Sus scrofa: one gene and its partners. The protein of the gene in region 1 purifies or fractionates together with the protein of each later gene. This does not show direct contact. Links are inferred from orthologs where the notes say so. Each region holds a gene or a part of one and is shown on either strand. Other genes may lie near its edges.

Region 1 (4,958 bases):
CAAAACGTAACTTTTTTTTTTTAACAGCTGCACTCACAGCATATGGAAGTTCCCGGTGTGGGGACTGAACCAGTGCCACTGCCACAGCATCCTGAGCCCCTGTAGTCGGAATCTTAACGTACTGGGCCACAGCGGGAACTCCAAAACACAGTAACTTTAAATGGCATCAAATGACATAAAATCATTCATCTGGAAGAGATGGGAGGCTGAGATGTCAATGTCAAAAGGGGGAAAACAGAGGACTGCTCTTGCCTCAAAGATGGGAGACAGCTGACCCCAAAGTGCCCCTGGAGGCGCGGTCTAGAAGAGCAGTCCCCATCCACACACCTGGGAGGACTGGGAATTGGAGGCCCCAGGTCACTCTGCAAGCAGGACTTCAGGGTGGGGCTGGTGACAGAAGGACTGACAGAGCATTCAGACACCAAGACACCCCAGTTCTGCAGTTTTACTCTGTGCCTCTGTCCCCGACTCCCATCTTCCTCTCATGCCTCCCTCATCCAATCCTGCTGGCTCTGCCTCCAAGCACATCCAGAAGGACCTGCATCCCTCACCTTCATGACCCCCTCTCCCCACTTCTCCCTCCACTCAGCATCTCCTTGCTTCTACTTGAATGTGCTGAGCACACGCCTACCTCAGGGCCTTTGCACAGGCTGTCTGCCCCCTAGGAACACACTGAGATCCCCTCTCAGCCACCTTCTCCCTGCCTTCATACCTCCTGCTCAGATGCCATCCTCCTTCATCCTTTCCCATCACCATTTACCTGCTTTTTCTCACCTTACAATTACATATTTGTTTACCACCTGTCACCCCCACTGAAATTGAAATGTCTGCTCCATTCATTGCAGCACCTCCAGAGCCTAGAACAGTGCCCAAGACATAGTGGGTAATCGGTATTTGCTGAAGACGTGAATGGAGAAATTGAACTCTGGGTTCGAACATGAAGACCTCCGCCCCAGCAGAGAAAGGTTATCACCATGAAGCAGGTTAGAGAAAAAAACCCTTGGATGGGTGGTCTCATTTTCCCCAGGACACGTGTGGGTCTTTACACATCAGAATCTCTCAGCACATCCAACCCAGGAAGGTTCCCCCCCCAGCCCCCACCACACCATGAGGGCAGATGGCCCACCTATGACCAAAGCCATGCCTCAGTGGCTGGTACTTCACAGGTGCTCAATAAAGTTTAGCTGAACAGAAGCGGGGTCAACATTAGAAGAGAAAGAACAGTGCTACCCATGGCCAGGGAGCTAGTCTGGGTCCACACTGCCCAACACCTTGAACACCCAGCTGAGGCCTTTACTCCAAAGGCTGGGATAGGGGCAGGGCACCCCTGAAGTCAATGTGATTCACTTAGAACAGAGGGAAAGCGTATGCACGGGTTCACTGGGTAAAGGTGCCAGGTGCCAGGGGTATGGCCCATCTAATGCTCTCAGAAGACAGGAAATGCTGCTAGAAGACAGGAAATAAGATGACCAAAACAAATCAGGTAATTTCATAGTTTAGGAAGTGAAAGACACAAAGGGTCAAGAAAGACCTTACTGAGAAGCTGAATCTTAAAGGATGAGGAGGCAGCCGTGGGAAGAGACCTGGAGGAAGGATGCACCCAGGCAAAGGGAACAGCTGAGGCCAGTGTGGCTGGTCAGCAGTGGGTGATTAGAGACCAGCTGGGGACGGATCAGGTGGGGGCTCCATCACACAAGCCCTCAATCAGGCGTTTGGGATCACTTCTCTAAGTCCCATGGGAAACAGAAAGAATTGCTAGGTAGAAAAGAAGTTTTTTAGGATTTAGGGGACCATGGCATGGATAATATTAAAAACTAGGGAAGGCCTAAAAATGAATGCTTTCAGTTCTCACCCCCAATACTAAGAGAGATCTTTGACCCAGGAAAAGATATGACCTACCATTTGGTGGTAGATAAACACCTGCCTTGGACTTCCAGAAATCCTCAGGGACAAGGAGGGTCTGTTTATCTGCATGGCCTCATTAAGCCCACAAGGCTCAAAAAAAAAAATTGCTAAATGATGAAGTAAAGTAGACTCAGAAGGCAATAAAAAACAAGAGACCTACTCTCTAACAAAGCGGTGAGGGCAGAGGACTTTTGCTCAAGGCAGAGTTAAATATCAATCAATTAAAATAGCACTCATTAGAGACATCGTGAGTATTATGACTTTATGACCCAGGGAAGGAGGGTTCTGGAAGCAGAATGGGGTACTGGGGGAAAGGCCTAGCATTTTAGATTGAGCTGTTTTCCTACCTAAGCATGACCTTGGGTAGATCACCTCCATCTCTGGGCTTAAGGGTCCCTCAATGACCTGAGGGAGCTAGACTATTCATTAAAGAATTTCAGGGAGAGTTCCAGCTCTCTCTGGAGCTTTAAAGTCTCAGGTGTTCACCATCACCCTCACCTGGCACTAAAAAGGTGCTTCATGAATATGTGGAGAAGGAAGGAAGGCCTACTTCTCATTTTACAAGACTGAACACTGGGCCTTGGAGGGGCTGGGTGACAGCTCAGGGACAAAGAGCCAGTTAGCGGTTGTGCGCGGAGGCCCTCGAACCCCTGGCCTGGAGACTTCTGGGGTTCCAGGAGAGGTAACAAGGAGAGAGACCATAGACAGAAACCTATTTAGTTTTGTTTTTTTGGGGGGTTGTCTTCCCAACGGAAGGCTCCCTGGAATCCACTGGTCACCAGGCTGGGCAGCTCTGGAATCAGACCGCGGGGGTCCAACCCCAGCTTCCGGACTTGCCGGCATCATGGCATTAGCCTAGTCACCTCTGGGTCGCTGTTTACTCTCGGGAAATGAACAGGGCCTGGCTTAGGGCGCACCAGCGCCTGACCGGTCCCCTCGGGCGGTACTCCACGCCGCAGCACAGAGCACGCCGAGGGCGACTTTCCAGGACTGTTGACGGGCGGCGCAAACCGGAACACGTGGTGTGGGTAAGCGCCATAGTAACAATTAATACCTATAAACTCTCCGTTAGGAGCCAGCGGCAGCGCGCTCGCACTCCTCCGACCCCCAGGCCTAATTTAAGAGCTCTCTCACGTGGTGGTCCCTCAGACGTCCGGGTTCGAGCCTCACGGTGACCTTGGACCGCCTCGCTTCTCCCCGCTGCCCATCTGTAAAGCGGGGATGGAGACCCGACGCAAGGGTCCGAGGACTATCTTCCGCACCAGTGGTGGGGCGCGGGGGCCGCACAATCCGCCTGTTCCCTGCAGGCCCTCGTAGGCCGTCTCTAGGTACCCCGCCCTCCTACCTTCCTGCCGGCAGTAGGCCATAGTGCAGCCCGGCGCTCCAACCTCGCGGTGATCGCGGTGGCTGCCTCACGCCGTGACCTCTCCCCGGCGAGGCGGGCGGCTGGGAGGCCCGTGCGGACCCGCCCCCTCCAGGCCTGCCCTCCGCGCGCCTGCCTCGGAGCTCCTAGCCCGGCCTTCTCAACCGGGAACTACATTTCCCAGCAGGCCGCGCGCCGCCGAGCAACTCCCTAGACAGAAGGAACTGCAATTCCCAGAATGACCTGCAATGCGCAGGTGCACCAGTGAGGTACCGGGTAGGTTGCAACTTCCGGAGAGGGCACCAGACTACGTTTCCCAGGAGGAGGCGCGGCGGGCGAGAGCAGAAAAACCGCGGCTTGCGGGGCGTTGCTCTGTAGCGCATCCTAGGGCTCCGGGCTTCCCGCGCCTTTTGGCCGCCATCTGGCTGTCGAGAGGTGGCGGGATTCCGTGGTGCAGCCGTAAGTCCGTTTTCTTGCTGAGCCGAGTGAGGCGGGCGGTGACCGGATCCTGCCATGGCTGCGAACGTGAGTGTCCCCGGCTTCGCCGGCCACACCCAGGCTGCCTCGTCCACTCTCCCGGCCGCCCGCCGTAGCCCCTTGTGCGGCTAACCGCCTCCGTGCAGCCGGCCCTTCCTCCCTCTCGCTCCCGGGTCCGCTCCTTCCGGCAGGGCAGCCAGGTCGTCCGTACGTGCGGTCAGCACCCGGTGGTCCACGTCCTCCTCGGGGGCGCGTGGTGGTAGAGACGCAACCTCTGGAGGTGTGGCTCTGTCTCCGGGTCCGCTTATGTGCGGCGCCTCCGCGCAGCTCCTTCTTTCCTTCTCGGTTCCCGCCTGCGCCTTTGGGATTCTCACATTTGCGGACTTGAGAGTTGGACGGGACTTCAGACAGGAGTCCCCCATGGGGTGTGTGGGGAGGCAGATATCGCCCTGGTGAAGCTGTCCAGAAACGCACTGTCCTAGCAGGCACTGAGGTCCCCGCTCCAGGGAGTATGTAAACCAAGGCTCTGATGTTGTGCAGAGGGGCAGACTAGTTTGGAGCAGAGGAGTTAGCATGACTGGGAGAGGGAGCATTTCCCTACTGCTGGCCCCTCGTCTTCCTGGCTTTGGCTTGGTTGGAAAGGCCCTGGCTGAGGGCGGTGCCCTTGGAAAGGCAGCTGCTTTTCTCCCTGCTTTTCTGAGGAACCTTTCTATTTAAGCCCCACATTCATTCAACAAACCGAGGGGCACCTGCCAACAGGGTGCTGGGTGTGGGAGAAGCTGGTGACTCATGTTCCTGTCTTCTGCAAAAGTGCCTCTGGTGCCAGCTCGGAGCCCAGCCAGCTGAGGCACTCCCTCCCTCCTGCTTTGGTGGCATGTCCTAACCACTCTCTCTCTTGGCCTTTCACACCCTCTTAACAGGCCCTTCCTCTGTCCCCAAGGTCCTCTCTGCCTTCCACACCCCCTGAGAAGCCAGGGTTTGCCTCACCCACAGCCCCAGCACACTTTGCCTGAGTTTGCATTGTCTGGGAGGCCAAGAAGCCTTTGAAAAAGCACCTAGAAAAGCCTCAGAGGTGGTCCGGGAGACCCAGGGTCTTCCCTCGGCAGAGCGCAGTCAGGAGACCGCCAGCCCCCCCTCCATAATGACCACTTTACAGATAGGGAACTTTCCCAGCAGAGAAAGGCCCTGCCCAGGGTTGCAGAGCCAGCCTGGC
Region 2 (4,350 bases), on another chromosome or scaffold:
CCCCCACGTAATCGCCATGGCTGGCTGCTGGGGCCGAGGACGCCTCTCCTGGAAGGGGCCCTCAGACAACGGCTAAATACAGCACTACTCTGGCCACATACAAATAACTGCAGCTGCCTGAGTCATCGACGCATGTCGTGACTGCGACAGCAAGACTCCCGAGAAGTACAGGTTCTGTGTAATGGGCCACACCTCGGTCCAGCCCAAAGCCTAAAGCTGCACTGCTGCCCCTTCACTGAAAGGAACAAAACTGTCCCAAGTGGCCACTGAGAGCAGAGGGTCCACACGACAAGACCTGGCTGTGACACCAACAAAGTCCTCTCCTTTCAAAGGCCGCAAAAGCAACCTGTTCGCCCAGCCTGTCGGGCTCATCTCCTAACTTGTCTTAAAGACAGAAGAACAGCAAGCCCATCTTTCGCGAGTACAGGCAGGATAAACGTCATTCCCCCACCGCCACCCCGACAGGCTACAGAAGGCACAGCAGAGCGCTGTAGGGCCCAGAAAATTTGGGATCCTGTCGGTCTTAACGGAAGCAACGTGTGAAACCCTGAGCTAGTGTGAGTGACAAACACGCCTGTGACCAGGTGGAAAGGCATAAACTCCCAGCACAATGTTCCCGGAGCCCCTCCTGTGGCCATGTCCCTGACTTCCAGGACAGGTGACAGAGACCGCCCCCAGCCGGCTCGCCAGCTCTCTCCAGAGGAGCAAGCAGGAGCCAGGAGGAACAGGCAACGCAGGTGCAAGTACTCACAGGACTTGGCTGAGGTGGTGGAACTGCTCCAGCGCCTGGCGGCACCAGCACTGTTGCTTGTCACTGCCACACCCGGCGCACAGCGGGCTCTGCAGAAGGCGGTAGTACCGGCGACGGGCGTACCTGCTGTCCAACTCCCCCTCCAGTTCAGGATCTGTGCCCCCTTCCCCTTTTCTCTTACTCTGCATGTATACCCTCAAAAAGCGCCCATAGAGACGCTGGATCATCTCCTGGAAAGGTCTGGGGGTGGAAAAGAACAGGACGCCCCGCACGGTGGTGTGGACCTTTTCGCGAAGGCCCTGGGCACCAGTGCCCATGAGCAAGCCCAGGCGAGTCCACTTCTCCAGGAGCTCTAGACTCCGCAGGTAGGGATCCAGGCGGCTCTCCAGCAGACCGAAAGCATCGAGGAGCAGCAGAAGGCACTGGGGCTCGTCCGCGCAGTTCTCGCGCTGGGAGATGGTATTCCAGAACTCGAGGGCGATGCTGGCCTGCAGGTCATTCTGGAGCACCTCTACGAACCATTCCTCCAGGACCGAGTGCAGTCCGTGGCTCCTGAGAACCTCCACCGCCGCCCGGAGCTCCTCCTCCTTTGGAGGGACCGCGCCGCTGGTCCGGGAGGATGCCTGGATTACAGAAAACTGTGAGTGGAAGGAAACACCACGCAGAGATGGAGAAGACGGTTACTGGCAGGCAAAGGCGGGAAAGGCAGAGAGGAGGGGAGCCCACGGAAACGCCGCTGCGCTTCGTCGCAGGGATGCACGGCCGACTCTCGGAAAGGGCTGTCGAACCAGGAGGGAGTCTGGAGAAAAGCGGCACAGGGACCCGTAGAAACCCGAGGAGAGGCCGCGCAGGGTCCTGGGCACCCCACGCGGGCCCGCCGCCCTCTTCTCGGGCCTCACCAGTCCCAGTGCGGCCGGCGGCACCAGCCCGGTGCTCACGGTATTCCACGCTACCAGCAGCTCCTGGGCAGGCCCGGGGTCGTTCTGCTGCTCCGCCGCCGCCATCTGCGCCCACCAGCTCCCAGAGCCGCCCCGTGTGGCGCGGGGAGATGACGCAGGGCTGGGCGCGCGCGCGCGCGGCGGTGACGTAATCCGGGCCCGCCGGCAGGGATGCGGTAGCGGCGGTTGGAGCGGCCGGGACCCCGGACGGCCACCATGACCCAGCAGGGCGCGGCGCTGCAGAACTACAACAACGAGCTGGTCAAATGTGCGCGGCCGCGCGGCGGGGCTCCCTGGGCTGGCGGGGAGGGCGTGGCGTCGCCGGCCCGCAGGGCCCGGGCGGTGGTCGGCTCGCAGCGCGCGGCCGAGTGTGTTGTACAGTCCGTAAGCGGCTGTTCCTGTCCGGGCGGCGCCAGCGCCGTCGGACCTGCCCGACGCACAGCCCCGGTGTGGGGCCCGCCCCGGGCGCTTGGTATCTGTGGAGCGAGCGAAGGACAAGCGGCTTGAGCACGCACGGCCTCCCAGCCCCGCGCCGAGGGTTCTGGTGCGGTGCCTACTTTAACCCTGAGTCCCCCGGGACGTAAGACACTGGCCTGGCTCGGGCGGAAGGTGGTCCAGCCGGCAGCCGGTCCTCCGCTGCCTTTCTCTCTCCTACCGAGCAGCGGGCTTCAGAGTTGGGGGGTGGGGGGCGGTGCCTTCTTGCCTGCCCTGGGCCCACAGCCCCTGCCCCTCTCGGCCCACCCCAGGCATCGAGGAGCTGTGTCAGAAGCGGGAAGAGTTGTGTCGACAGATCCAGCAGGAGGAGGATGAGAAGCAGCGGCTGCAGAATGAAGTGAGGCAGCTGACCGAGAAGCTGGCCCGAGTCAACGAGAATCTGGCCCGAAAGATCGCCTCTCGTAACGAGTTTGATCGGACCATCGCGGAGACAGAGGCCGCCTACCTCAAGGTGGGACTTGGGGCCTGCATGTTGGGACAAGTCCCAGAAGGGCCCACCGACAGGCAGGCCGAGGGCCCACTGTGGAGTGACAGAGCAGCTGCTAGCGTGGCTTGGACGGTACTTCTTCCTGCGTAACTCCCTAAGACCAGCAGGAGCCAGAGCGACTCTGCAGGGAGCGTAGGGTAGACTCAGGAGGAAAAGGGCCCTGGCAGGGAAGGGCTGTGGGAGCTTCCCAGAGGGGGGATGGTGTAACCACTGGCGTTTCTGCTCCCAGATCCTGGAGAGCTCGCAGACTCTGCTTAGCGTTCTGAAGAGGGAAGCAGGGAACCTGACCAAGGCCACAGCTTCAGAACAGAAGAGCAGTGGAGGCAAGGATAGCTGACAAGGCCGCCGGCAGAGGGGCCCGCCTCCACCGCGCCCACCTAGGGCTTCGCCTCCAGCAAGTCTTCACGGCCTCTTTGTTCTTCACGGCAGCGGCTGCTTTCTCTCCTTGTTCTGGGTGCCGAGAGGCAGCTGCCAGCCACCACTGGCTCTGGGTGACAAGGAAGGCCTCGCTGCAGCCCACCAGCTGGGTGTCCTGGCCCTGTGCTCACACAGGTTCTGGGTCGGTCAGTTCTGCTCGGCCTCTGAGGGCCCCCCCACACCCCTGGGCTGCAGGGAAGACCCCGCTTCTAGTCTCGGCATCATGTCACCCTCACCTTATCACTTGGCCAGCAGGTGCCCAGGCAAGTGGGAAGGGGCCAGGGCCCTCCTTCACCTCAGAGCTGACCCTGGGGCCGTAACGTCAATAAAGGTTGTCTTTGTTAAGATACACGCCACCCTGCCGCCTGTGTCCTGGGTGGGGCTGCTGGCCACCCTAAGCCGGAACACAAACCCCTGCTCAGCTGTAGTGGGGCTCCTCTGTGAGCGGGCGAGGAGAGGGCCTGGCATGACTTTCCCTGTGACTGGCCTTGCTGGCCTTGGGGACCGCTAGGGGTGCCGCTAAGCATGTCCCGAGACGCTTGTCGCCCACCTTCCCCCTCAGAACTGCTGACCCCTTCCCCAAGCCCAGCACCCAGCCCAGCTTCAGGGAAGGCACTCTGGCCGTGGGCCGTGGTCTCGGCCTGGTGCAGGGAGACACTCTTCCTGGGGCCGGGTCCCCCGGCCAGGGATGCAGCCCAGCTCTGACTGCTGACTGCCCCACCCTCCCTGGTCACACTGCCTGGGGCCCAGCTCTCATCCCGAGTCCCCTCCGGGTCCCTCTCTCTTCACCTGTCTGTCCCTTTGGGGGTGGGGTGGAGGTTGGAGGTTGGGAAGCACGTGTTGTTGACCGAGTCTGGAGAAAGCTGGGCCCGCCGCTCCCAGGAAAGTGCCTTCCTCCAGCCCAGGCCTGGCCGGGGCGTCTCCCAGATGTGTCTCTCCAGGAGGAAAAGCCCTGCATTGGCTGCTGCACCGGGGTGGCCTGGCTCCCCAGGGCGGCCATCCTGCTCCCTGGGGGCAGTTCCATCCGCCACCTCTCTAAACCCATCGATTTCCCTGCTGGCCCCGCCCCAGGGGAGTGGTCTGCCTGTGGCGCAGGGACCCTTCCAGTCCAAGCAGAAGCCAAGGCCCTCTGAGCTCTGCCTACCCCAGGCTCCTGTCCCCTCAGGGAAACTGCCAGAGCCCCAGCCCCTGGGCACACAGTTCCAGAGCCCTGCCTCCGCCACAGCCCCCACTATGCCACCTCTGGGGACAAGGGGAGCCCC
Region 3 (4,986 bases), on another chromosome or scaffold:
TGGGGCAGAGCTTCACTCTTGGCCGCCACATGGGTGCCTGTCCTCCCTGCTCTCCCCCACGCCTGCCTCATTCCAGCTCCACAGCCAGAGAGACCTTTCAAAAGTCACTTCTTGCCGTTCCTCTGCTCCACACCCTTCCGTGGGAGCTAGGTGTTAAAAGCACATCCTTTCTGGGGTCTTGAGGACCTGCCGCCATGTGACCTCGCTCCCCTCTCTGCTCCTCCCCCAGACCCAGCAAGGAGGCCTCCTTGGAGTTCCCGTCGTGGCGCAGTGGTTAACGAATCCAACTAGGAACCATGAGGTTGCAGGTTCGGTCCCTGCCCTTGCTCAGTGGGTTAACGATCCGGCATTGCCGTAAGCTGTGGTGTAGGTTGCAGACTCGGCTCAGATCCCACGTTGCTGTGGCTCTGGCATGGGCTGGAGGCTACAGCTCCGATTTGACCCCTAGCCTGGGAACCTCCATATGCCGCGGGAGCGGCCCAAGAAACAGCAAAAAAAGACAAAAAAAAAGACACACACACACAAAAAAAGGAGGCCTCCTTGCTGTTCGCGGAACAGCCTGGCCCAGTCTTGCGATGGCACAGCTCCCTCTTCCTCGGGAGTCAGAACTCAGATGGGAGGAGGCAGCAGACTACATGCAGCGAGGGCAGGCCCGTCCATCACCGCAAGCGCCAGCACAAAACACACCGAAGGCAGGTCTTCAGTCACTTCTCCAGCATTTTATTTTGGTCTCAAGCTCCACAGAAGCCTTCGACAGGCCTGGTGCAGCTGAGCAAGGCCACATGCGGCACGGCAGGTGTGCAGCAGAGCTCAGCCCCCAGGCCTCTCTCCTGAAGTACTGGCAGCGCACAGGCCCCGGGCTAAAGACACTGCAGCCATGCCAGCTGTCCCTAGCTACACGGTGGGGGACAGGGGCCTGGCCTGGCAAGACAGAGGAGCCCTGCCAGGCTGGTCACCTTCCTAAGTTGGCAGCAGGTGTCAGGTGAGCAGGAGGCCGAATCTGGAAAGGGAGGGACAGCCTAGGCTGCCCTGGCCTCCTTCAGCGCCCTCGGGCCTGGGTTGAGGGGGAGGCCGTCGGGGGCACCCCCACTTCTACTCTGAACCTGAGAGAGGGCTCCATGGGCAGGGTCTGGGGACCACCCAACTGAGACAAGACAGGCTCTGGCTCTGATGTACTTTTAATAATGAGCCCCACACGCTCTGGTCAGGCCGCGCACATGCTCTGGCTGGCTGGCATCTAGTCACAGGAGCCGTCCTTCCATCCGTCTCGCCAGCGCTCGTCCACCTGCGAGCAGTCAAACTCCGGCTTGCCCAGCTTGCGGTTCACCTCGTTGTGCAGGCGGCACAGCCACTGGGTGAAGTGTGCCCGGGTGCGTGTGTCTGGCTGGTTCCGGCATATCCTGTGTGTGGGAGCACGCGGAGGATGGGGGCAGGCAGTGCCCCCACTGTGCCCACCCCCCAGCTCCTTGCCTGCCCAATTCAGGGAGGAGAGCTGGCACCTTTGCCGGGGGGAGGCTACACCAGGAGTGCCCCTGCAGCAGCAAGACCTGCCAGACACCTGGGCCTGCTCAAACCCTCACCCGCGGAGCTCAGCAAACTCAAAGAAGCACCCTGGGCCAGACATTAAGGCACAGACCTCGACTTCATGGCCTCAAAACAATCAGGAAGCCTCACACCCTTGCGTCCTTGGCCCCAGGCAGTGTACAGAAGGGATGGAACCTGCACAAAGGCATAACTGAACACCAGATCTGCTTCTTAGCACCCACGGCCCTGCTGCCTCAGCTCAGTAAGAGACTTTGTTCTAACTGCCCAGGCTTCAAACAGCAAGGGCTGCCCTGCCCCTCAAATCCAGCCCAGCCTATGGGTGCCACACCACAGTTCTTGGGCTCCGCAATGGAGAAAAGGGGGCTCTCGGGAGCAAAAGCAGTGAGTTCCCAAGGTCTTGAAATTGGCAGTCCTGCTCCAGCAGGTAGCAAAGCGGCGCCCTCCACACCTGCCAGAGCCTCCAGCAGTGCTAAGCAAGGCATCTCAGGAGGGAAGTGCTCCCCAGAGTTCTGGGGCGGAAGAAGCCCCAGGCAGCTTGGCCCTCGAGGAGAAAGGAGATGATCCAAGATCCCTCATCTGCTGCTGGCCCCTGCTCTCGGCAACCCTCTCCCACCTCTGCCTTTATTTCTCTAGGCTTCCCTTTATGACATCAGCCAGGCCCAGGCTCCCGGCGGGACTGGCTGCGGTACCCAGGACTCACACAACTTACCTCCTCCTTATGTCTTCAGCACACTCCTCGCATGGGTAAAACTTGGAAAATAAATTTACCAACTGAGCCATATCTTGCTGCTGTTCTGGGGTGGGCAGGTCGGGGTAGTAAGCAGCCAGGGTGTGGAGTACAGCCCAGCTGTGGCGGCCGAGTTCCTCGCGATCTGGAGGACAATCTTCCCTAAACTTGCTGTCCCGCTGTGGAAGGAGGCCGACCAAGGGTTAGCTCCGTTCCCCCGCCGGAAACCTACAAAGCTCCATTTTTTCTGCCCTAGCCGGAGGCCTACTGTCTGTCCTAAGTCCTAAGGAGGCTGGTCCGGCCAACAAGTGGCTAAGGGCCGAAAGGCCCGGCCTCCCTTAAGGGCTAGGCTTTGGGACAGCCACCCCTCAACCCCGGGGAAGGGGGCAAAGTCTTAGGGCCTGGAGGAGTGCTCCGCCTGGGTCTTGGGAACTCTGCCCGGGGCGCTTGACAACATGGTGTGCGGGCCGGGGCTAGGAGTCGGCAGGGCTCGCGGGCCTCTGCGGGAAGGAGGCGCCTCCCCAACCCCACGCGACATCTGCACCTTCTGCTGCGTCCGCATCCACGACTTGAAGTCCACGCAGGCCCGGCAGGGCCGCCTCCGGGAGGCGTCCTCGGCGACCTGAGAATCCGAGGCCGGGGCTTGGGAGGGCATCCCGGCTGAAGCGGCGGCATCTCTCCGCCCGGCGCCCCGGCCGCGCGCGTCCGTCACCAGGTCATCCACCACCTCGGAGCGCGCGCCGCCGGGCAGGAAGGAGAAGAGGTTCCCGCCAAAGCGGCCCCGCTCGCCGGGGGCCGCCATGTTACCCGCGCAATGCCTGCCGGGCCAGCTCGGTCTCCAGATGGGCTTCCAAGTCGGTCTCCAGGCCAGGGCGCGCGCCGCCGCCAGGGCGCGGCCGCAGGAGCCGGGAGCCCGGGCCGCGGGCGCGGGCGCGGGCGCGGGCGCGGGCGCGGGGCCTGAGCTGGGGCCGGGGGCGGGGTCGGGGGCGGGGCCTGGGCCGGTGTCCGGCGTGGAGGCGGAGCCGGGGGCCGCGGCCCGCGACCCGGAAGAAGCAGAGCTGGAGTCGGCGGCCCGGGCCCGCGTGTGTGCGGGGTTGGAGATCCTAGTCCTGGCCGCAGCCCTGGGCCTCGTTCCGCGGCCCGAGCCCGACTTGCGTCCTCCGTGGCGGCGCTCCCGCTTCCTCCAGTAGAAGACCAGCGTGTTGTGGAAGCGGCGCGGCCGTGCCGTAGCCTCTGGCTGCGGCTGAGGCGACGTCCGTTTCGTGGCCCGCGATGCCCCCATCGCTCCGCTCTGACCGTCCCGCGTGCCCGCTGCTAGGCCCTATGCCCTCGGCTGGGGGCGTCCTGGGAGCTGGCGCTTGGTGCTGTGGCAACATGGGGCGGGGCCGTGAGCGCACAGAGGCGATGCTGCCGGGGCTGAGCCTGCGGATCCGCCCTGGCGACGGGTGCCATGGCAACGGGTGACTGGCAACCCGGGGTGAGGCGGTGCCGGCAAAGGAGGCGGTGCGTGTTTGGGCTGCGCGCACGGAGCGGACCCTCCCGCTCCCGAATCCTGTAGCCTGCCTGAAGCGGTTAAACCCACGTCGGGAGTGGCCTCAGGGATACCTGTGCTTCCAACTGTGCATTCATTCATTCCGCAAATATTTGTGTAGTGCCTCATCTGTTCAGAGCTGCTCTAGGCGCTGGGCGGTGCCGGGAGAAAGATTCGAAAGTTTCTGACCTCCCCAACCCATAATCCAGTGTGGTCAAGACGGAAACAACAAAAATCTAAAAGGTGTCACACTAATAAATGCTCGGGGGCATGAATGGGGCGAGGTAAATGCGGGAGGCCTCCTTGAGGAGGTGACGCTTAGGCGGAGGCCTGAAGAATGAGGAATCACTGAGAAGGGCAATCAAGGCCGAGGAGGATCTTTGCTTCTTGTGTGGGTGGGAAGGCCAGCAGGACAGGACCTGGGTAGGGTGGTGGCAGAAGAGATCCAGCGGTGGCCAGGGGCCCAGCAGGGACCTCATCAATGGCCATGGGCGCTGGCAATTTATTCCAAGGACCCTGGGAATGTGCTGGGACATTTGGGGCCTGGTACTCTGGTGTGATCTCAGTCGCCAAGCTGCCTCTGGGGAGTGGATGTCACAGGAGCAAGTGAGGAGTACAGGCTTTGGGGGAGGATGGGGCTGCTGCAGTTGTCCAGGTGAGACGTCAGGGTAGGGTTATAGAGAGAGAGGAGTGGAGGGCGTCTAGATTGCTGGCGGTGTGGAGCAGGGGCTGTCAGTTGGCATGGGGGGGGGCAGTGCTTAGCATCCTTTTAGGTTCCTGGTGTGAGCAAACTGCCCATCTCCAACTTCTCTCTCTTCCCAGGAACAGGTCTGTCCCACCCTGTACCCTATCAGGCTAGTGGCCCCCACTGAGACTGGCAAGAGTGTGACAGCTAGACTGAAGGCACTTTGCAAAAATAGGCCTCTGTTGGTGCTCCCGCTGTGGTGTGACAGGATGGGCAGCGTCTTGGGAGCCCTAGGACTTGGGGTCAATCTTTGGCCTGTCACAGTGGGTCAGAGATCCAGCATTGCCACAGCTGCGGCTTAGGTGGAGACTGCAGCTCATATGTGATCCATGACCTGGGAGCTCCATCTGCCACCAGGTGGCCACAAATGAAAAAAAAAAAAAAGAAAAAAAAAATTAGGTCTGTATCCACAGGTGTTCATTGTCTGTGCCAAGACCA

The links. Proteins that work in one complex are often made in the same cells at the same time.
Region 2: the proteins of CHCHD4 (region 1) and SSNA1 purify together in Homo sapiens (co-immunoprecipitation; 3 studies listed by BioGRID and IntAct, with this or other methods). This does not show direct contact. The link is inferred for Sus scrofa from reciprocal best matches to the Homo sapiens genes CHCHD4 and SSNA1.
Region 3: the proteins of CHCHD4 (region 1) and GFER purify together in Homo sapiens (co-immunoprecipitation; 3 studies listed by BioGRID and IntAct, with this or other methods). This does not show direct contact. The link is inferred for Sus scrofa from reciprocal best matches to the Homo sapiens genes CHCHD4 and GFER.

Annotation. Positions count from the first base shown.
Region 1 is NC_010455.5:70,415,812-70,420,769, reverse strand, and holds the start of CHCHD4 (mitochondrial intermembrane space import and assembly protein 40), read right to left. Parts: upstream 3,445-4,958; 5' UTR 3,273-3,444; coding exon 3,251-3,272; intron 1-3,250. Other genes in the region: TMEM43 (transmembrane protein 43), read left to right, coding at 3,782-3,793.
Region 2 is NW_018084833.1:709,972-714,321, reverse strand, and holds SSNA1 (Sjoegren syndrome nuclear autoantigen 1), read left to right. Parts: upstream 1-1,819; 5' UTR 1,820-1,905; coding exon 1,906-1,957; intron 1,958-2,435; coding exon 2,436-2,635; intron 2,636-2,900; coding exon 2,901-3,008; 3' UTR 3,009-3,437; downstream 3,438-4,350. Other genes in the region: ANAPC2 (anaphase-promoting complex subunit 2), read right to left, coding at 752-1,374, 1,651-1,755. UniProt on the Homo sapiens protein: Microtubule-binding protein which stabilizes dynamic microtubules by slowing growth and shrinkage at both plus and minus ends and serves as a sensor of microtubule damage, protecting microtubules from the microtubule-severing enzyme SPAST.
Region 3 is NC_010445.4:39,981,239-39,986,224, forward strand, and holds GFER (FAD-linked sulfhydryl oxidase ALR), read right to left. Parts: upstream 3,214-4,986; 5' UTR 3,075-3,213; coding exon 2,817-3,074; intron 2,452-2,816; coding exon 2,255-2,451; intron 1,401-2,254; coding exon 1,238-1,400; 3' UTR 700-1,237; downstream 1-699.